Lepisosteus oculatus: one gene and its partner. The protein of the gene in region 2 purifies or fractionates together with the protein of the main gene of each other region. This does not show direct contact. Links are inferred from orthologs where the notes say so. Each region holds a gene or a part of one and is shown on either strand. Other genes may lie near its edges.

Region 1 (10,742 bases), on a different chromosome or scaffold from region 2:
GACCCCACGCGCCCTCGGACACACCCGCGCACCGCGCAAGACGCACAACCCCCTCTCTCTCTCGCTCGCAGCTCCGGCCGGCCGGGATCTTCAGCCCCGGGTGAAGAGGAGATCCGCCCCGGGGGGGGGCACGACCTCTCACGATTCCGTGAGCTACGCCTGGAAAACCCGGTCACGTCGCCACCGAGCCAACGACGTCGACAGCCACGCTCGAAACAGGGAGGACAAGAGGCAGAGGATGAGCTTCCTGCCTGGCGGGACACCCAACGCCAGCGCTAGCTGGACCAGGAGGACGAGCTGCTACACGAGCTGCTGTACGGCCTCATGGGAGCTCCAGCCTCGCACGCGATCCCACCTGCCGCTCCCCGTGAGTTTCCCAGGATTCCCCCCTGTGTCTGGGTGGGTGGGTGTTGGGTGAAGGGGGGTGGGGGGGTGGAAGGGAGAGAGCGGTCACAGAGCAGCACACAGACAGAAGCCGCAGGCAGACGGGCAGACGGACGGAGCCAGGCAGCAGGCACACATGCACACGAACACCCGGGCAGGCAGCCGCCTGCCTCCTGCCGCACCACGGCGCCCCCTGGTGTCGGCCAGCCGCGGGGCTCTTCCTGTCGGGCTGGAGAGGAAGCGGGACGCTTCACTTCCACGTCTGCTACCCCACGGGGGGGCGGGGGAGCTGCTGGTCTGGTCTGGTCTGGGTACGACAGTCCTCAATCGACCAATTGAGGGGGGAAACGGGACGCCCCACCAGGATATGCCAGGTCTGCCAAATTAAAACTATACTGAAGACACGGGGGGGGCAGGGGGGCAGAGGGCAGGTCTGATGCCCATTACTGCATCCCCACACATCTGTGCAAGCAGACTCTGAACAAGGCAGTGAGCTTTAGACCTCCAGCCCTTCTAAATCAAAGCCCTTGAGCTGGTGAACCCCGGAGTGGATCAGACTGCTGTGCACTGGGACCGAGGGTGCAACTGCCCGGCCAGGGGCTGGAGATTTCATTCTCCATCCCCTTTTCAACACTGACACAGGCAGTCGAGAAGCGCTCGCATTGACCAAACTTGCTTCTAGGCTTCCCTCAGTACAGTCTGCCCGGGAGCCCCGCGGCAGGCAATCCTGGCCACGCCCAGTGCGGCCCGGAGGCCCCGCCCACAGTGGGAGGAGCGGCTGCCAGCCCCACCCACGAGAGGAAGTAAGACGGGCACCTGGAGACCCGGGACACTGGGCATGCTCCGCAGGCACCTCAGTGCACACAAACTCTCTGCCACCGAGGAGCAACTCAACCAGAGAGAGCGGGGCACTGAGCACTGCGAGAGAGAGAGAGAGAGAGAGAAGGGGAGGGAGTGAGAAACAGCCATTAGGAGCCACAATCTCTCTCTCACCCACGCACACTGACCCACACACAGCACTGCCTCACACGCACGCCAAGCGCCGCCACGCGCACCGAGACAGGGAAGAGAATCCGACAAAGAGGGGAAGAAGTGGAAAGAGAGAGAGAGAGAGCTGGATAAAGTGAAGAGAGGAGGAGAGGGGGAGAGCAGGAGCACTGCTAGAATGAGCAGCGGACGAATTAGCTGGTGAAGCCAGAGAGCAAAGGCTACAGTCACGTGCTGTGCTCCAGAGTGGCAGAGGAAGGGGGCGAGTGGCCGGCTCTGTGCCCGCTGTGTCTCCCTCTCAAGCCCCCCGCCTCCCTAATCCCGCTCGGACCCCCCGCTCTCGCCCAGAGGCGCAGCTGCTCCGAAGCACAAGCCCACCCCGGCGCTGCTCAGACACGGCTCTCGGATCCCCCCCGCCCCCACGAGCGCCACAGACCCCCAGGCACAGGGCAAGTCCTGCCACAGCTGACCACAGCGAGGGAGCCCCCAGGAGCACGGCAACACTCCGCCCGGCCCCTGCTGGGGCCAGGGGCTGAGCCCAGCCTGTGTGCGAGACAACAGACCGGCAGTGCAGGGCAGTCTGATCCGCCAGACTCAGTCAATTCAATGTCTTCTGTATAGCGCCTTTTACAATGGTCATTGTCACAAAGCAGCTTTACAGATTCCCGGGCCTGAACCCCAAGCGAGCAAGCCCAGGGCGATGGTGCCAAGGAAAAACTCCCTCAGAGTAGGAAGAGACCTTGAGAGGAACCAAGGCTGGGAAGGAGGAGCCCATCCTCTTCCAGCTGGTACCAGGTTAAAGTAGAACAAACACATATGAGCGTCGTCTGCATTCTGTTACATGGTGGGAACAGCACAATCATGTATGGTACTGGCCAACAGTGTCCCGAATGTTCAACTGGTTTCCTTCAGATTTCTTGGGCAGGGCTTTGTAGAGGACCGGCTGTTGATTTTAGGACTGGTAAAGGGAGCTGGATTCTGGATCTAGGCCTCCTAACAGTCAACATCAGAATGGATGGATAGAAAAGAGATAACAGCAAAGTGGTAGTGAGACTGTCAGTAGTGTAAAACCTGGAGTGGATCAGACTGCTGTGTACTGGGAGTCACACTGACAACACTGTAAAGCCTGGAGTGGATCAGACTGCTGTGCACTGGGAGTGTGACTGACAGCACTGTAAAGCCGGGAGTGGATCAGGCTGCTGTGCACTGGGAGTGTGACTGACAGCACTGTAAAGCCTGGAGTGGATCAGGCTGCTGTGCACTGGGAGTGTGACTGACAGCACTGTAAAGCCTGGAGTGGATCAGACTGCTGTGCACTGGGAGTGTGACTGACAGCACTGTAAAGCCTGGAGTGGATCAGACTGCTGTGCACTGGGAGTGTGACTGACAGCACTGTAAAGCCTGGAGTGGATCAGACTGCTGGGGGTCAGAATAAAAAATACTGTATACTCTCCTTCAGCCATGACTGTGAAATATAGTGGCACAGACACTACAACTAAACATTTAGACAACAGGAAATGATCCACAGCCAGAGAAAGCCATCTCATCTCTGGACTAGAACAGTAATGTTCAGAAGCAGGGTATCTGGATATTTTTATTTTTCCACAAATGTCCCTTATCACACTAACGCCCTCCATCCACAAATTCACAGACAGGCACCCCAGCCACACACAAGGCAGGTCCCACAGACAGCAGACCCACACAGAAGCGGACACGCACTGCCACACAAACCAACGCCCCTGACCCAGTCACAGACCAATGAGTCAAGACGCGAACCAGCGCTCCCTCGACCACATCCACAGGCGACAACCCGACTTCGGCTACCGAGGAGTGTCCACCGGTCGCCGCGACTGGATCGAGTACCTCGGGCTGTGGGAGCGAGAGCCGATCCCGGCCAGACGGACAGGCCCGAACTCCGCGACCCGGTTCCGCGTCCCACACTTCCTCCTGCGACGCGGCGACTGGGCCGCGTCTCCGTCTCCAACCCCGCACGCCCGGCCGCGCAGGGGCCACGGACGGGCCCCCGGCGAGCCGCGACGAGGCCGTGCGGAGGCCGCCTGCCGGCGAGCGGCCTGCCGCGTCTGTGCGGGGTCGCCTTCACTCGCAGCCCGGCTCCGTCCCTCTCCGAGCTGGCCCGGGCCGGAGCCCAGGCCCCTGTGGCGCAGTCGAGACCCGGGCCTGACGCTCGGCCCACAAGGCGAACTCTCTGCTCTCTCTCTCTCTCGCCCTGGTCGCGCTCAGACCCCGAAAAGCGAGGTGAAAACTCTTCGAATATCTCGACCTCTCGGGCCCTGTGCCTCTATGCCTGACCCCCCTCCCTCACCACCATCGCCGCCTCCTCCGCCGCCTCTCTCTCCCCCATCTAGGCCGATCTGCCCCCTCGCTACCTCGATCGCGATCCTTCTTCCCTCCGGGGCCGGAGCCGTCCCCTTGCTATGCCCACGCCCGTGGGGAGCGGCGCTCTCCCGACCCCACTCACCATCAGCTCCAGGCTCTTGTCCTCCATGTCCGGCTCCATGTTGTTGTTCCCCCGAAACTCGCTGCGAAAATGGAAACCCAGCCCTGCGTCACTGCGCACGCCGCCCCCGCCCGAGGCCCTGACGTCATCAACGTCATTGCGCAGCTGGGGGGGAGTGGGCGGGGCGGTAAAACCTCTTCCCAAGTCTCTCGCCTCCCCCCTCTTTGGTTCCCCTCTGCGGCGGTGGCCAATCCTGGGCTGGCTTTCAATTGTGCTTTGGGCACCAGTGAAGCCGAGACCCGCCATAGTCAGTTGTGGCAACCATTGAGTTCAGACAAGGCGATGTGAAAGCTGGACATTTCTCATAATCGACATGTCTTTCACACACATCGACAGAGTAGCATTATTCGATGTTACACAGCGTAAAAAGTCGTGACTGGGGCTGGGGGAAACCCCAAGTGATTGTGGAGGCTCCACCTGGGGTACTGTGAACCCTGAGGGATTGGGGTGACCTCAGCCAGGTTACTGTGCTGTGAACCCTGAGGGATTGGGGTACTGTGTTGGGGGGGGGCTCTCTGATTTAGGGTGTGCTACAAGACTAGCCTCACCAGGGCTCCAGGATCATGAAGCTGTCACACCAGACAAAGCAGCTCCCTCCCTCCGCCACTCTTCTTACAAGCTTCTGCCACTGCTGGCAGAGCCCCAGGGATCCAGGATACTCCAGCTCTCTACAACCGAGCTTCCCTGCTGCTCTCGGACGGCGTTGGGGGCCCAGTCCCTACTGTCCCGGCCGGGACAGGCCATGCTTCCCGCATGGAGACGAAAAGCAAAGAATCACAGCGAGAAGGGGGGTGGAGTAGCAAGGAGGAATATGAAACATGAGCAAAACACAAATTCCAACTAAGCAAGAGGTCTTGGACTCGGCTTTGGGGCAGCATGGTGGTGCAGGCGTTAGCATTGCTGCCTTCGCAGAGCTGGGGCCCTGGCTCGGTGTGGAGGTTGTATGTTCCTCCCACCATCCATGTAAGACATGCTGGTAGGTTGACTTCTGGCAAAATTGCCACTGGTGTCAGTGTATCTGTGCCCTGCACTGGCATCCTGGCCAGGGTGTACCCACCCTGGGGCCACTGCTTGCCAACATAGGCTCCAGTTCCCCTGTGACCCCACGTTGGAGGAAGTGGTGAGAAACTGGATGGATAGAGTTGGCTTTGGTAGACCTGTAATCAAATCCAGCACCTGCAGTCAAGATCTTCCATAGCTGAAAATGAGTTAAGTAGGAACCTAAATAAGCTCAATCAGAATACAGCAAAGACCCTTTTTAGTTCATGTCATACAGCAGCATTACAGCGCAGGACAAAACACATCTAGGCACCCAGTTCACCAAAAACCTAAACCTTTCTTTTGTCCCCCTAGTAGCCATTTCTACTCAAAGGACTGTGGTCTAGCAGATCAATTTTACAGAGGAGGGAGGAGCCCAAAATATATTCAGCATGAATGTGGACCCGGTGGAGAGTTTCTGAAACTCTGGGCTTGTTCCCCAAAAAAGTCAAAGACCAGCAAAGCTCCAGGCAAATTGGGATGGTTATGCTGGATGAAGTCTGACAGTTTGAACAGGTAATAATTCAGCATTCTTGGGCAGGTTTCACCTGCAGCACTGTTCACCCTTCAGTCAAACACCAGTCCTAACACCTGCATGATCTGTGGTTCTTCCGAAGCGATGAGTGATGAGTGATGGGGCATGCCTGTACCAGCACAAAGACGGCATCCCCACGGCCATGAGTATCAAGCAATGAAAAGCACAGCTGTAACCATCAGTGCACAGCCCCTGACAGTCTGCCTCCACAATCTGTCACAAACATCAGCACACCCGCCCTCCTTCCTTGTGTAGCCCAGACCCTCAGTAAACTGTGGTACAGTCCTCAGCTTAGCCCAGACCCACAGTAAACTAAAGTACAGCCCTCAGTGTAACCCAGACCCTCAGTAAACTGTAGTACAGTCCTCAGTGAAGCCCAGACCCACAGTAAACTGTAGCCCAGACCCACAGTAAACTATAGTTCAGTCCCCAGTGAAGCCCAGACCCTCAGTGTAGCCCAGACCCTCAGTAAACTGTAGTACAGTCCTCAGTGAAGCCCAGACCCACAGTAAACTGTAGCCCAGACCCACAGTAAACTATAGTTCAGTCCCCAGTGAAGCCCAGACCCTCAGTGTAGCCCAGACCCTCAGTAAACTGTAGTACAGTCCTCAGTGAAGCCCAGACCCACAGTAAACTGTAGCCCAGACCCACAGTAAACTATAGTTCAGTCCCCAGTGAAGCCCAGACCCACAGTAAACTGTAGCCCAGACCATCAGTAAACTGTAGTTCAGTCCCCAGTGAAGCCCAGACCCTCAGTGTAGCCCAGACCCTCAGTAAACTGTAGTTCAGTCCCCAGTGAAGCCCAGACCCTCAGCGTAGCCCAGACCCACAGTAAACTGTAGTTCAGTCCCCAGTGAAGCCCAGACCCTCAGTAAACTCTTGTTCAGTCCCCAGTGAAGCCCAGACCCTCAGCGTAGCCCAGACCCACAGTAAACTGTAGTTCAGTCCCCAGTGAAGCCCAGACCCTCAGTAAACTCTTGTTCAGTCCCCAGTGAAGCCCAGACCCTCAGAAAATTGTAGTACAGCCCTCAGTGTAGCCTAGACCCACAGCAAACTGTAGTACAGCCCTCAGCAAACTGTAGTACAGCCCTCAGCTTAGCCAGGACCCACAGTAAACTGTAGTACAGCCCTCAGCTTAGCCAGGACCCACAGTAAACTGTAGTACAGCCCTCAGCTTAGCTAGGACCCACAGTAAACTGTAGTACAGCCCTCAGCTCCTCAGTACACTTTCATCAGACCAGAAAGCCCAGCTTACAGCCCTACCTGCTCCTCTCAATGTGAAGAGCAGGTGGAAAAGAGTTTTGCTGGAAGAGAAGTGTCTCCTATTCATCACCAAGGGTCCCTGTACCTCAACACACCAACTGAGGAAGGGCAGCAGGATCAGTAGCCAATCGTCCATCGGGGAATTCCTGCAGACAACGTCGCCCCTCCATCATTCAACATCTGGAGAGCACCCCCAATTCGATGGGGACACACCCATGGCCAGCAGGGATCAGCAGCTCTAGCTGCGCCCCTGGGCCTGCTGGGTGGACACTGTGGTGCTTACAGGAGCCCCAGAAAAACACATCAGGAGCCTCAGCCCCACCCCCCCCGTGTGACAGGAGAAGGACATCGGCCCCCCACCCCCCTCCTAATGGACACGAGCACCTTGGACAGCTGACAGCCAACAGCAACAGGATGAAATGGAAAGCTGGACCATAAAGGGGTTAAATGTTGTTAAGCAGTTTCAAATTTAATACACTTCCGCTCTTCTACAGAACCCAAGGTAAAAAAAAAATTGAACTTCATAAAATACAACAGCAGCTGATGCCTGTAAAAAAAAAAAAAAATGGGGGGAGGGCAGGGAGGGGAGCTCGCTGGCGGGGTGGGAGAGGGAGAAATAAAGAAAAATAGTTCTCTCTATAATTATAAGATTGGGAATCGTGAGTCCGAAGCGCTGTGGGATGAGGGGGCAGCGCTCTGATCTCTCAGGGGCCGGGACACGTTCCTATGACTGCGAAGAGAAACGTCTAGACAAGGGGAGCCCCCCTCGCCCCGGCACGGCCGCTGGGCCAGGGCAGGGGCGCCCCGCAGACACGCGCTGTGTTGTGAAGACATTTCTCCTGCCGTCTCCCTCTCCCTCTCTCGGTATGTGGTCATTCCTCCCTCTCTCACTGAAGGAGGAAGAGAGGTGGTGTTGACGCCCCAGTCTGGACTACCTAGTAGTCATCCAAGTCAAAAAATTCGTCGTCGTCACCCTGGTACTCCATCCCCTGGAAATCCACTCGGTACCGCAGGATCCCTGTGAGAGAGAGGGTGAGAGAGATCAGGGTCAGCCGCAGGGCAAACAACACTACCTTACCCACTGGGAAACAACTGGAACAACTGTTACAGGTGACCACAGCCTGGCCGTAGAAACTGGTCACAGACAGACCTGACTGTCCAGAGAGGACAGGCTCAGTGACCACAGCCTGGTCTTAGAAACTGGACACAGACAGACCTGACTGTCCAGAGAGGACAGGCTGTGCTCCCACTGCCAGCAGGTCTAGAGACACACTTTCTGCACTATGAGAAATACTCCAGGTTTAGACAAAAATAAATGACAAACGTTTATATCCTGAATTTCTGAGTTCCAATATGCACACTTGCAGCCTCGTGTCCCTTGTTTCCTTCCGCCCAGTTCCTGCAGAGCTTAAGTTGAGTTTCACAAAGGTGCTCATGAGTGCCCCCAATGAGTGCAACACAGCAGACTGAAGGGAATTACCCCATATGTGTGATATCATGTGAGGGTGTCCCACTACCCTTTTAATAAGCGAGCATCTCGAATACCCGCACACTTTAAATTCACACCTGCTCTACACAGAGGTGTGAACTTAAGAGGACACGGCCAATGTTTCCTGATTGTTACTCCTCTGACCACACTCATTCATCAGCTGTTCCAATCGAGTTCCTTGAATTTGAGAGGGCGCAGGAGAAAAGGGGTTCGAACCCCTTACAGACCCCACCACTCACTCACCCCCAATGCCGCCGAACCCCTTGACGAACTGCGAGCCCTCCTGCGACTTGTCCGTGACAATCTCCAGCGTGGCGCCGAACTTCTTGTAGTTGTTGGCGAACCACTCCAGCAGGGGCATGCTCTCGATCAGCTCGTGCTCCTGCCCCGTCTGACGGAGAGAGAGAGAGAGGGGGAACACGATCACTCACAACACCTACAGCCCCAACAGCACTGCTCTCCCACTGGACAATCCAGAGGACTTCTTCAGGGTCACTGGTGACGACTGAACCAGAAGACTAAACTACAGGGAAGAGCATTTAAAATGGAGCCCAGGAGAAACGTCTTTACACTGAGAGTAGTGGGAGGGTAGAACAAGCCGCACAGCCATTCTGATGAAACGGATATTTTGCTCTCTTTCAAGAAAAATCCGGATGACATCCTCCAGTCAGCACAGGAGGCACTTCTTTACACAAAGGGTGGTGGGTGTGTGGAACAAGCTGCCCAACCACGTAGTTGAAGCCGATACCCTGGCTTCAACAGCTGGATGATCTTTGATCAATCAGCCAGTAATGACACAGGCCAGACAGGCTTAATGGTCCCCTCCTGTTTGTAACCTTTCTGACGTTCTTAAAACCTGCTTTGGCAAGAACTTCACAACCTAGTCATGCCGAAAACAGAAGATATCAGTATTTTATTGTTCAGCGTGGCTGCAAATGCTTTTCTAATTATTGCTGGTCGTGCCAATACAGGCTGGAGTGAGAACAGACTCTCCTCACCTCTTTGTCTGTGAAGTGGGACTTGTCCTTCTCCTGCTCTGGCGTAAGGTACAAAATCTTCTCTTCTGCAAGACAAACGAGTGTCAGACAACAGGGAGACACACCAAGACACACTCCAGTGTAGAAGAGCCTGCAGCCACACAGCATGTGACATCATGATGGTTCTGACAATGCTAGTGTGCATGTGTGTGTTGGCTTGCAGTGACAGTGCAGGTGGGGGTTGTGTATGTCTAATACCCTGGGGTGATAGTGTGAGAGACCAGGATGGTGGTGACGGTGCGTGGATGCGAGTGTGTGAGAGACCAGGATGGTGGTGACGGTGACGGTGCGTGGATGCGAGCGTGCGAGAGACCAGGATGGTGGTGACGGTGACGGTGCTTGGATGCGAGCGTGCGAGAGACCAGGATGGTGGTGACATTGCGGGTGCGTGGATGCGAGCGTGCGAGAGACCAGGATGGTGGTGACATTGCGGGTGCGTGGATGCGAGCGTGCGAGAGACCAGGATGGTGGTGACATTGCGGGTGCGTGGATGCGAGCGTGCGAGAGACCAGGATGGTGGTGACATTGCGGGTGCGTGGATGCGAGCGTGCGAGAGACCAGGATGGTGGTGACATTGCGGGTGCGTGGATGCGAGCGTGCGAGAGACCAGGATGGTGGTGAGGGTGCGTGGATGCGAGCGTGCGAGAGACCAGGATGGTGGCGACAGGCCCGTACCCTCGGTGCCGTGACATCGCAGGACGTAGCGCATGATGTCGAGGTTTTCGTAGACGATGAGGATCTCCACTGCGCCCATCTCTAGAGCCTTCAGCGTGTCCTCCACCCCGAAGCAGTACTTCCCCGTGTCCTGGCTAATTTCGTCAAAGTACCGGCCTGAGGGGGGACAGGGAGAGGCTGAGCACCCCGCAGGCCCACACTGCGCGGTGCCCCCAGAGCAGCCCTGGCCCAGATGGCAGCGTACCAATGAGCTTCTTCTCCTGGATGAACTTGACGTTGGACAGCACCTCGGCCGACAGCTCGATGGCCTGGTTGAAGCCGTTCTCTCCACCATACGAGATGTCGACCAGCTTCAGCACCTTCGCCTGCAACCTCTGGTGAAACAGAGAGACACGGAGGTCAAGTTCCTGCTCTACGCCGATGACCTGGTCCTGCTGGAGCAGTACTGTCAGACTGTCAATCTGGACAAGACCTGAGTAGTGGTTCTTCACAAGACAGATCCTGGGAAACAGATAATACTAAAACACAACCAGTTACACATAGATTGCACTGACAATCAGTTCATGTGGCAGTGCTGACCTAGTATGGGGCTTTCGATGTCATTTCTACACTCCACAATATCAACCCCACCCACATAAAGATCTGGTTATAATTTAATTTGAAAGTGGGTTTGATTCCAATGTCCTATGTGGTAGTGTAGTATGAGGTCCACTCACAGACCAGGACTGCACTTAATGGGACAAACAGCCCACAGGAGTTCTGTGGGGAACACCGAGTTCTGTAAAAACATACTGGGTTTAGAGAAAAACTCCTCAT
Region 2 (10,839 bases):
TTGAAAGTAATCTGCTGTGATTTGGATTCCCTTAAACTACCTCTGAAGAACCCCGGCCTTTACCTTCTGTCCTGGGTACAGCTTGAAGCGACTGAGGCTTTGGAAACCAGGCCCCACGATGCTATCTTGAGAGTATTCCTGCAGCTGCCCATCTTCCAGGGCTACAGTGCATGACCTCACTGCTCCGCCAGGCTCCGAATGCACAGCTTCAATCTGCCCTGGGACAAGCAGGCCATCTCCAGAGGGACATGGGGCGCACACCAAGGTCCCCAGCAAAGAGCGTTTCCCCAAGCGTTTGGGCACAACCGTCGCCATTGACGAACCACAGCAAAGGTATAACCTACTGTCAGCTCCTACCAGGAGAAAGATGACAACACACAAACATTTGATTTAACTTTTGGGATTCAAACTTTAATTTAACAAGTTCATGTGCACTTGTGCCTTTTTCACCTTTCTGCTTGAAGACTCAAGTCCTTTTATTTTTATTACCTGCTCATTTCGATATAATTTAGAATTTAGATTCTTTTCAAGATACTGCACATCTGATATTTTAAAGCATGCACGTGATTGAAGCAACATCATGTCCATCCTAGGAAACCTTAAGGGATAAGTGTTAATTTTTAATTTCAAAGAAATAAAATAAGAAATGGAAAGCTTAGTTGGATCCAGAACTAAAGTGAATGTTCAAACCACTCAAGAACATCAAATTGCAAATGGCAGGTTTTCTGTACAGTAGAAGCAAGAAGCATCTGAATAACTAACAGCCGCCATCAAATATCAGATTCTTACTGGAGACCAAGAGTTGGGAAAGTTTTCTTTTTATCCAGACTCCTTTTAAATTTGTACCACTGAACTTTTCGCATTACTTTTTGTGAGGTTCTGAGGTTTTTCTGAGATGAAAATCTTTCTTTCACCTCAGAAATACCGCTAGACCATGCCCTATGCTATCACTAACTGCAGCCAAAAACCTGATCAACACATTTTTGTTCTCTCAAATTGACTACTGTAATGCTCTACTCACTCGGGTATCTAAATCTACTTTGAACAAACTGCAGTATGTCCAAAATTCAGCAGCCAGAATCCTGACCAGGTCTAGTGCAAGTGATCACATTACTCCTATCCTGGAGTCTTTGCACTGGCTTCCTGTCAAATTCCATGTGGACTTTAAAATCCTCATGCTCACCTATAAGGCTCTGCATGGCTTGGCACCTCAGTACCTGTCTGAACTATTACTGCCCTACTCCCCACCTTGCAACCTTCACTCTTCTAATTCTGGTCTCCTAACTGTCCCTCAAGCCCGTGAACATTGTATGGGTCCTGTTATGCCCCCAAGCTCTGGAACTTTCTGCTCAAAGATATTAGAGTGTCACCTTCTCTAAACTCCTTCAAATCCAGACTCAGAACCTTCTTCTTTAGAAGAGCCTTTACTTAACTGGTTCCATTCCTCACCCTTCTGCTTTTCTTAGTACCACCATCAACAGTCTCCTCTGTATATTGTAATTGTGTTTTATCTTGTGGATTCTTTTTATTTATTGTTGTTGTCATTCTGTAAAGCAATTTGAGAAGCCACCTTCAAAGACACTATGTAAAATAAAGTTTATTATTATTATTATTTTTTATCTGCCTGAACATATACAGTATGTAGTCTTATCTTAGCTGTGCAGGTCAAGATGGAACAGTGTATCTGGTTTTTCAAGATTCTGATGTTGCTTTAGCTGAGTTAATTAAAAAAATGATAAATGTATTAACAAAAGACAAGATGACTAAGTTACGAAGGGATGTGCACACAACTTGGCAGCTAATCGGGAAATACAGTAAAAAGATTTGCCAAGGGTTAGATGAGAGAAAGCTTTAAAGAACACTAAAGACTATACACCCCCAACATGTGCCAACAAGAGTAAATCAAGTAATCGCTCCCCTTAGGAGACATTTCATGATGCTGTTTCACTGGTATCTATCACTATGAAGTACTAAGTTACAAATGTAAAGTATCATCGTTAGTATATTTCAATTCCCCCTTTTAGCTAGTTTAAAACTATATGGTCAGTTGTGGAAAGCGATACCTGATTTTTGGAATTCGAACCCATGATATTCTCAATTCTTTGGGATCAAAAAAAGCAAAAAGCACTCATTTAACTAAGACTAAGTCATATTTGGCTTTGTTTTCTTTTTCCTTCTTTACGTCAGTATGACTCAAAGTCATGATGCTGGATTAATTGCAACAGAAGGTCTCTGGTTACGTAAATTCTAACTTTGCATGAAGCAAAGTGTGACCACATGGCACGTCTCTCATGGTCTGTTATAATAACGGTTTGTTACGCATTCTAATCTACTGCAACCGAGTGCTGGAAAGTCCAACCACTGAGACCAACTTAAAATGTTCAATGAAAGTAATGAAAACAGGTCTCAGCTCAATCAAGCCCATATTCCCACGCCATACCTGGCAAATATAGTGCAATAAAATTGGGAACACAGCTCATTTGTCATTTCATGGACCCAATTTAATCAGTATAAGCATGCTGTCCACAAATGAATTAAATTGCTATACAACAATCTGAAATGTGTTTCCGAGTTTTGTTGGGGAATGCATCAAAAAAATACTTTGTCATGCTTAATTACTGTTGTCTTTCTTAATAGTTTCCATTAGAGTGTAAAACCATAGAATACTACACTCTGGTGATGGGATACAGTGGAAGTCTCCATATGTGCTGAATCATTAGAAAATGCCATGCTGACCAATGGTAATACTGGTCCTGTTTGTAAAATCCCTATTACATAAAAACAAAACTATCATATTGTCTTTTTACATACCGAAACATTTCCAAGCCACCCCAGAATAACACATGGCAGTTTCGGGCTTCATGAAAAAACACTCATGGTATGCATCAGTGAGCGAATACTTATTTCAGTTCCATGACAGATACAACTGCTGGAAAACGTCTAATTTGACTTTATGCCTCATCTTTAAAGAAACAGAAAAAATATATTACAAACGGCCTTCGCTGGCTGCATAGTTATTAGCCGAAGAACCTGTGAAACACTTCTCAACGCCCCCTACAGACCCTCACCCGCGTAGCCGGGAACATGGTTTTGCACCCGGCATCTTTTCACAAGCTGCTTCCAAATATGAACACGTCCTATTGCCGAATGCACTGAAGCTCAAGCGCACATATTGCAATGCAATTGCAAAACCCATCCCTTTTCTAGCGCTAAAACACTCAGTGGGTGATCCTAACAAAAATTAATTATTTTCTTTTTTTAAAAAAAAACTTTCTCCCCCAGTGTCCACGTAACTGGATCAGAAGTTTGCAAGTTGAGAGGAGGGGGGGCTCCACTGTTTATGGAACAGCTTGTTGATTTTTTTCTTTTTAAAATCAATACAGGGTTTTTTTTACTGTAAGCTTTTTTAACGATGCACAACCGTTCTAAACCAAATCGACCTGCTTCATAAAATCATAGCCGTCTCTGAAAAATAATCATTGAATTGCAAACTTAAAATTAAAAACTATTAGTGAAAAGTAATATATAAATTAAAATTCGGCTATAACAGAATTTCATGTTTTTTAAAAAGAGACTTCCAGTAAAATAGATTCGATTTTCTTCTTTTAAGAACAGCCCTTTATGGAAATTCTACAAAACAACACCAAAAAGGCGATCGACGCAGCACAAATTCGATAAACCTAGTGCAATCCAAACTCGGGATCAAAACATGAAATAACACTTTAAGTGAAAACTTACATTGCAAAATAAGTTTCAATGAAGATTTACATACCTTCTCTTACGCTTCTCTTATACCGCACACACCCCCTCGGTTAAACCTCGACTCTGACCGGCAGCAACTTAAAGTCGATGCTTTCAAAGCCAGCAGAAGGGCTCTTGTACGCTCTAAAGGCAAATATGGACTGGATTTCAGAATGGATTGGATTAGCACCTGAAAAGTCCGCGGTTTTTGAGGCGCAACTGATTATACTGCTCTGTGATAAAAAGCAGTATTATTTTGTGTGTATTTGTATTTACATTGATTCAAATTATTTCTAGATATTTTATTATACTAACCTATATAGCTATCTCTAGTTAATACGAAGATTAGATGCAGTTGCCGCATTTTATAAAAACCCTACTCCCCAGACTCTTTCGCTCTTGTAGTAAACAAGCTAACCATGTGGTAGGGATGTTAGCCTCCATTGGCCTACTCGTGTTTTCCAAGACACACGCCCTACAATCTCAAGTTGTTTATAACACTTTGCTTGAGCTGTGGTCTATTGCTTTGAGCACAAAGGATCAGCAAAAAGCGGGTTACGCATCTGCAATAATTTGAGACACCCAGTTGTTTACTTACTGAAGATAGCTAAGTGAAATGTAAATTATCATTCATAAGCAACTGAAGAAATAAATAATCTATTGATATAAAGCGAGTATTTGGTTTCTATTGTATGCATTTTCACATTTTTAAATAGCGCAGGTTAGCTCATTGTTATTTAAAAAGGATCATTCCTTGCAGCAAATGTTATTTCTATTTCATATGTTAACGTTTTAAAATTCATAACGTGTAAGCATGTGTAGAGCTCAAAACATTTTCTGTAATATTGACGATTCTGCGCTCAGCATTCACAGTGGGTCCACAGCGCTCGAACAGTACCGAAGGGGCTGGATGGTGACTGCTAGCTACGCCATATAGGACTGCACTGGGTCAAACCGGTTGATGGGCTCGTATAGGACAGCATTATTTGTGCTTCAAAGGCGTGGCAAAGCAATTAACAGTGACCTCTCCCTGGCCGATTTGCGCTTGTTCTAGTTGCGGATTGCCTCTGCGTACGTGCCCTGGAACACATGGTCGCCCACTGTGCACACTGTGCTCTGACAGAGGGGAAGAGACGCGTGCAGCACGTCTCTCACAAACACAGCCACGAAGGTAGCTCACGTCACTGAGCTGGCGAAATCAAAATAATTACCCGCGTCATGACCTGCATACTGGCTTTCTTTATTCATTTAATGCAAGAGGTTTGCTTAAAATAAGTTAAAATGAGTTCCAAAAATATGTCAGCCACAACCGCAACGGAAACTGGAAGGATCCTTAAACGTGTGTGTAGGAGTGGGCGGTGCTTCGGGCCAAAAAGTACTATATAAATGCAACGTGTTAATATTAGTAAAACAATTCCACTCTGTAGGGACACACAATTCTAGTTCACAAAGACTGGAACTCTGCACGTTTCATAGGTACATTTCAGTATGAAGCTTATTAAGAACTCGAAAATACGTTATTAAGATTCTTATCCAAATAATTTAAATAAGATAAGAGTGACAAGAAAACCAGTGCAGCCCTTCAGCACTGTATTTGACCATCTATGTTATAAATACAGCAGTGAGTTTCAGGTCAGTCGGACTTTGGGGGTGGGAACATTCAATAACTGAAAAACTAGTTTTTCTTCTTCCTGGTTTAAGTAATGGTTCTTTTATACTCTAGGGTGTTACATAGGTAGCTCTGTAACATAACCAATATGCAGTTACCTGCAAAAATAAAATTAGATTTGAAAAATCACTTCCATTACTAATTTAAAAAAAATGGTCAACAAGTGAAAAAAATGCCGCAGTTATGCTTTTGGTATTTCCTAAACAAGATGCATGCAGTTCTTTAACCCAGTTAGGTGTGGAATAAATATCTTTTATAATTCTGCTTATGTTTTGCCACAGTCAGGAGATCTTGCATTCATTGTGGTTAGCTGAGCTGGATGAGGAATTAGGTATGTGTTAGATGGCAGGCAGCCATCAAGGTTTCCTCTTCTACATTGTGAAATGTCCATTCCTGGGTTCTGAGACAGCTGTGGAAGAAACTAAATACCTTTATGTCTCTTCGTGGCAGCCTTTTCACTTGTTCTGCATACCAGATTGTACTGCCTTCTCACAGGATTTCATTCTTGAAAACAGATCTTTAGCTTGACAAAACAGCATAATGAGATCGATATTGAGGACAGGATTGTTTCCTTGTGAATTGTCCCCATGACTGTATGTCAGCTCAGTGTCTGACACCAGACCAGAAAACAGCCATTTCTCCCTCTCTCCCACAGGGAAGGTGCCTTTAAGATTAAAAGTATGGATGAAAGGGGGCTGAGCCTTGAAGACAAGGGGCTCGCCAGAGGTGAAACTTTGCTGTACAACTGAGGAGGGGGAGGAGGCAGGACAAGGAAACACAAGACAGATGGGTGCTGTTTTGCTTTTGATGTGTGAAAAATTATTGATCAAGTATAAGAGTGGAACCATTGATCCAACTCCCAAATTATGCTAGCCTTCTTTTCTTAATTATATCAAGGTCATCTACATGATTTCACTTTAATGAGGGACTGTACTTTCCGTTGTCAGTTTCTCTTGTTGAAGTTGATAGATTTAAGTGTTGGAAAGCAGGAATAGAATATAAATCCTTGGTTCATTTTTAAAGAAAATCTAAAATAGAAGAGTTTTTCACACAACGCTTAGTGGAGTTTGCACTTTGTTAAAAAGTGAATATCTGCCAACCACCAATATTTTCCTTAATGATTCTGTGCGTAGGAATAACCATGGGAAAGCACAGAATTTTGCACAAAAAAAAAACTCATATGAAGCAATCATAAGTGGAATAGCAACAGAAAGAAAAGGCAGATATCCCACTAAAGGAGTTTTCATTCAAGCATAAAGAGTTGCCTTGAATTTTAAAAATAGTAAAACAAGCAAGACAGAAACACTACTGAGTGATGAAATATTACGCAATATTAAATGTTATTAAGTAAATTATCTGTACGTGACATTAGAATTCTCTCAACATGATCTTGGTCATGTTTTAAATAGCAAATATTCATTGACATTTTGACATTGAGAAGAATAAGAGCTGCAAACAGTATTAAAACATTAATATTATTGTTGTTGGATGGACAAGAAGGAGAGGGGTTTTGTGGAAAACAAATTTATTGCAGAAAGAAGTAAAGTCGTGTCCACAAAACAGTGCACGAAAAGCAGTATATATGAAAAATGGCCATAACAAACAGGTTTTAGCCATTTACAGCACAAGCTCATTCAAACTACATTAATTCAAATTTTCACTCAGAAGCTTCTGACAGATACTTACTGTAACATGCCCATATACACCTTCAGTCTAGTTTATGCTGAGTAAACTGACTTCTTAATTGTGGGCAGGCTGTGGCTTGTTAACTGCTACTAGCTGCTTATTTAGATTTTCTCTATTAATGCTGAAAAATGCACACTTTTACAGACAAATATTTATATAACCAAATAAATATTAAATTAAACAATGCAAGACAAATACTTACGAATAAAGCTATAAGTCATAACTGTCCTAAATTGATTATTTAAAGTAATTATTATTGTAGAATGGTTAAATGTGCTTTTAATGACAATATACTTGCTAGAATTTAAATCCGTACATACACAGTAAAGTAGGATATATTACATTAAGTATATTTATTTACACATATATGGATACTTTTTAACAACATTTTTTCATTTACATGGAAACCAGGCCTGATGTCTTTAACATAATTATTCAAGTTTCCAGGATAGGATAACTTTAAACTTAATCTTTTCTACAGAAAGACTAATTTGTCTTTATAATCAGTTAAGGGAAGCTTCATCTTCACAATTATACTTTGCAGCTTTGCATTTTTGTATACTGTACATATAATAATGCAAAGCTGAAGTCCTTTTCCTGCTTTCACACGTTAGTGCCAACACCTCCCAATTACATTTTTACATCTCAGTGAAACCTTACATTGCTACCAACTGTGACTCAGAACATGTCCTGTGTGTTAATTTCGGCAGCTAGCACCTTACTTCCAGAGTATAATAATTTTAGCCCAAGGGACTTTTCTTTCACAATTCAATAACCGTCATGGGTTCTCCATAGTCATATACTGGAAACCATATGTAACATGATGAAATTACGGAATAATTCAAGGCTTTGTGTGAACTATACTGTGCATACCTCAAGAGCTGCACATTTAGATTTCATGATGTACAGAGACATCTAGCTTCATCATTTGATGCAGCAAATAAGCACCTTTCCCTATAGAATTAATTATTTTTCACAGTAGGGGCAGTTTTCCAGAGCTCCAATTTCAGGATTAAATGGATTCTTTTTAAAATATGCAAATTCATATCAGGGGCTATTCACTACATTTTCCACCATTGGAAAGCTTGCCTGTCTATTTCACTAATGAGAAAATCCATTTAGCTAATCCTACAATACCATCATAGTTCTGAATAAACCAGAAATGTACAGAGTCCGTAACTGATATTTTTAAGTTGTTTAGAGTCGTTTAAAAACCTTGACCTTATATTTAGAACACTTAAGTGTTTGTATTCCCATAAAACGCAATGGAAATGTAGACAATTAAACAATTTGATTTAGAGCCAATCTAGTATTATTCTTTGAAAAACAGCAGTCTTTGTTTCTGGTGCAATTTTTAAAACATGATGACTGTCGTCTTATATAACAGCAGGACTACAATAACTTACAGTAATTAAATAATGTTTTGCTGAGCTAGGATGACCATAGGGATCTTCAAAACTTTTTTTTTTCACAGTGGCACACACATGGTAATCAAAACTGAGCCAGAATCTTGTTGAACTCAACTTTTTCACTCTGTTTTAAAGTGCAAGCCATGTCGTGAGCATGGCCACCAGACAAAGTCTGACAGTGGCATGATGTGAATTGTGGATTTGCATTGACTTAGAAAAGGAGCCACTAAGTACATTAAGAGCATGTTCTATGTTTCTAAAAGCGATTCTGTTTGTGTTATTCCTATGTTTTAAATGTCCTGAGGAAATTGTTTAGGAGAGAAACGTTTCTAGAGAGACGTTTCTAGAGAGATAAAGATGTAAGTTAAGGTTCTGGCATTTTCAAGTTTCCAAGCACCTTTTTATATAAAGGATAGTGGAAGTTTGGAATAAATTGTCTTATCATGCTCTTTAAAGTAGTTTCTCTGGTATCCATTAAGAAATAGCCGGAGGAGATTCTTTGGACACAAAGCTGCTAGCAACCAGATACAATAGGTAAGACAGGCCAAATGGTCTCTTTATTTATAACCTTTGTCACATACTTGAAATTCTAGGGTCCTGAAGAAAATAATATTTTAATGCTACGGGGTTCATGTGGGCACCCTCGCCGCCTCAAGTCAGCCCCCCACCATCGGGGACCCGAACCCAGGCCTCCGGCGTCACTCAACAGGAACCCAGCCTCTTGAGCCAAATGGAAATCTCCCGTCAGCCCAGCGGCTGCGGTCCCTGCTATTCACAGGGAAGGGCGGTGAAGTCACCACTCTGGTAAGCTAGCTCTCACAAGCAATGGAGGCCGTATGCGTTACACTCTCCCCCGCTTAACTCGCCATCCTCGGCGAAGGGCTATCCCACCTCACTTCTGACACCAATGTAACTCTACAGGGTTCACATGGGTGCCCACACCGCTGCCGCATCAGGTCAGCCCCCCACCGTCGGGGACTCAAACCTGGGCCTCCAGCATCACTCAACAGGGACCCAGCCTCTTGAGCCAAAGGGAAATCTTCCATCAGCCCAGCGACTGCAGTCCCTGCTATTCACAGGGAAGGGCGGTGACGTCACCGCTCTGGTAAGCCAGCTCTCACAAGCAGTGGAGGCCGTATGCGTTACAATATAATAAAACATACACAGGTGTGTGTTGATGATGCATAAAACACAAATTACCATAAATATACGTTCTGTGCTATTGTCAAATAAACTATATACTAATTTAAATCTACAACAAATTCACATAGCAATTACCATTTTTTGTTTTGTAGCAGGTGGAATAATATTTGATCAAACATCACATAGCACAGGCAAATTAACTATACTAATTAACATTTGTCATCTACAAGGGGTTTATAGTAAAAGTCACCAACTGGTAGCATGTGTGGCTACTGTCAGAAGCAATACGAGCTGCACATCTGTGATGCAGGCTTTGCACCAGATTGTAGAGTGACTGTCCAATGGGATTCTATGGGAAGCATTCCTCTCTTAATGCCTGGACGAGCATATAGTCTCTCTGGTCACCAAGCCCTTGATGTCCCACATTGCCTCAGTTCATCCTATAAATGTCCAGAGGAGCTTAAGTCTGGAAAGGAGGCCATCCACATCATAACTGTCATATTCTCAGTTTGCAATAAAACAGCTCTTTACACTAGCATTATCATAATGTATGTTATCCTGCTGGAATGTTTTCATGTTAGAATAACAGAACAGGAAGAGCAGCCACTGGAATTTTAGGACTTCTTCACTGCCACACAGTAAGTGTAAATTGTGTATTCCTAACACATCACATTTTCTCTCTCTGTTTTCAGTAAATTGATTTCCATCAAGGCAGGTGGAGTTCTGCTCAGACCATCACACTTATGGTTGTCATGACTTGACTGTTACCTATAATTGATGAGCTGTGTTTGGTTGTAAAATGGCTTGGTTATGAACACCCTAGATGGCTATGCAGTGACATGTTTCTAATATACCAATGGCATAAAGGTTTTATTCTCTTGGTTAGTGGAGTGTATTGGCTTCATTTTTGTTTTCTTATTCTTGATTTTCACCAAGCTTGACATTCAATACATCTAACTACTTCATCACCTACACTATGTCCAGTGAACTCTCTCTGATTTACTAATAATACAACAGTCAAAGTTACTCAAGTGTGTCACAGTCAGTCATGAATTTGACATTATTTTCCTAAAAAATTTCAAGTAGGTTTTGTGAGTTATGAGGAGTGTAAGATATTCTTAGTCTGAAAGAAGTATGAAACTATGATCTTTTTTTCAATTCATGAGGTTGACAGTTTCCTTGATATTTGCA

What was found.
Region 1: the proteins of zinc finger protein 395 (region 2) and F-box and WD repeat domain-containing 11-B purify together in Homo sapiens (affinity purification with mass spectrometry; 5 studies listed by BioGRID and IntAct, with this or other methods). This does not show direct contact. The link is inferred for Lepisosteus oculatus from reciprocal best matches to the Homo sapiens genes ZNF395 and FBXW11.

What each region holds. Positions count from the first base shown.
Region 1 is NC_090706.1:29,881,407-29,892,148, forward strand, and holds the start of F-box and WD repeat domain-containing 11-B, read right to left. Parts: upstream 3,966-10,742; 5' UTR 3,890-3,965; coding exon 3,851-3,889; intron 1,303-3,850; coding exon 1,201-1,302; intron 1-1,200. Other genes in the region: eukaryotic peptide chain release factor subunit 1, read right to left, coding at 7,661-7,743, 8,458-8,605, 9,213-9,277, 9,927-10,082, 10,171-10,300.
Region 2 is NC_090697.1:60,064,491-60,075,329, reverse strand, and holds the start of zinc finger protein 395, read right to left. Parts: upstream 4,003-10,839; 5' UTR 3,773-4,002; intron 354-3,772; 5' UTR 316-353; coding exon 64-315; intron 1-63.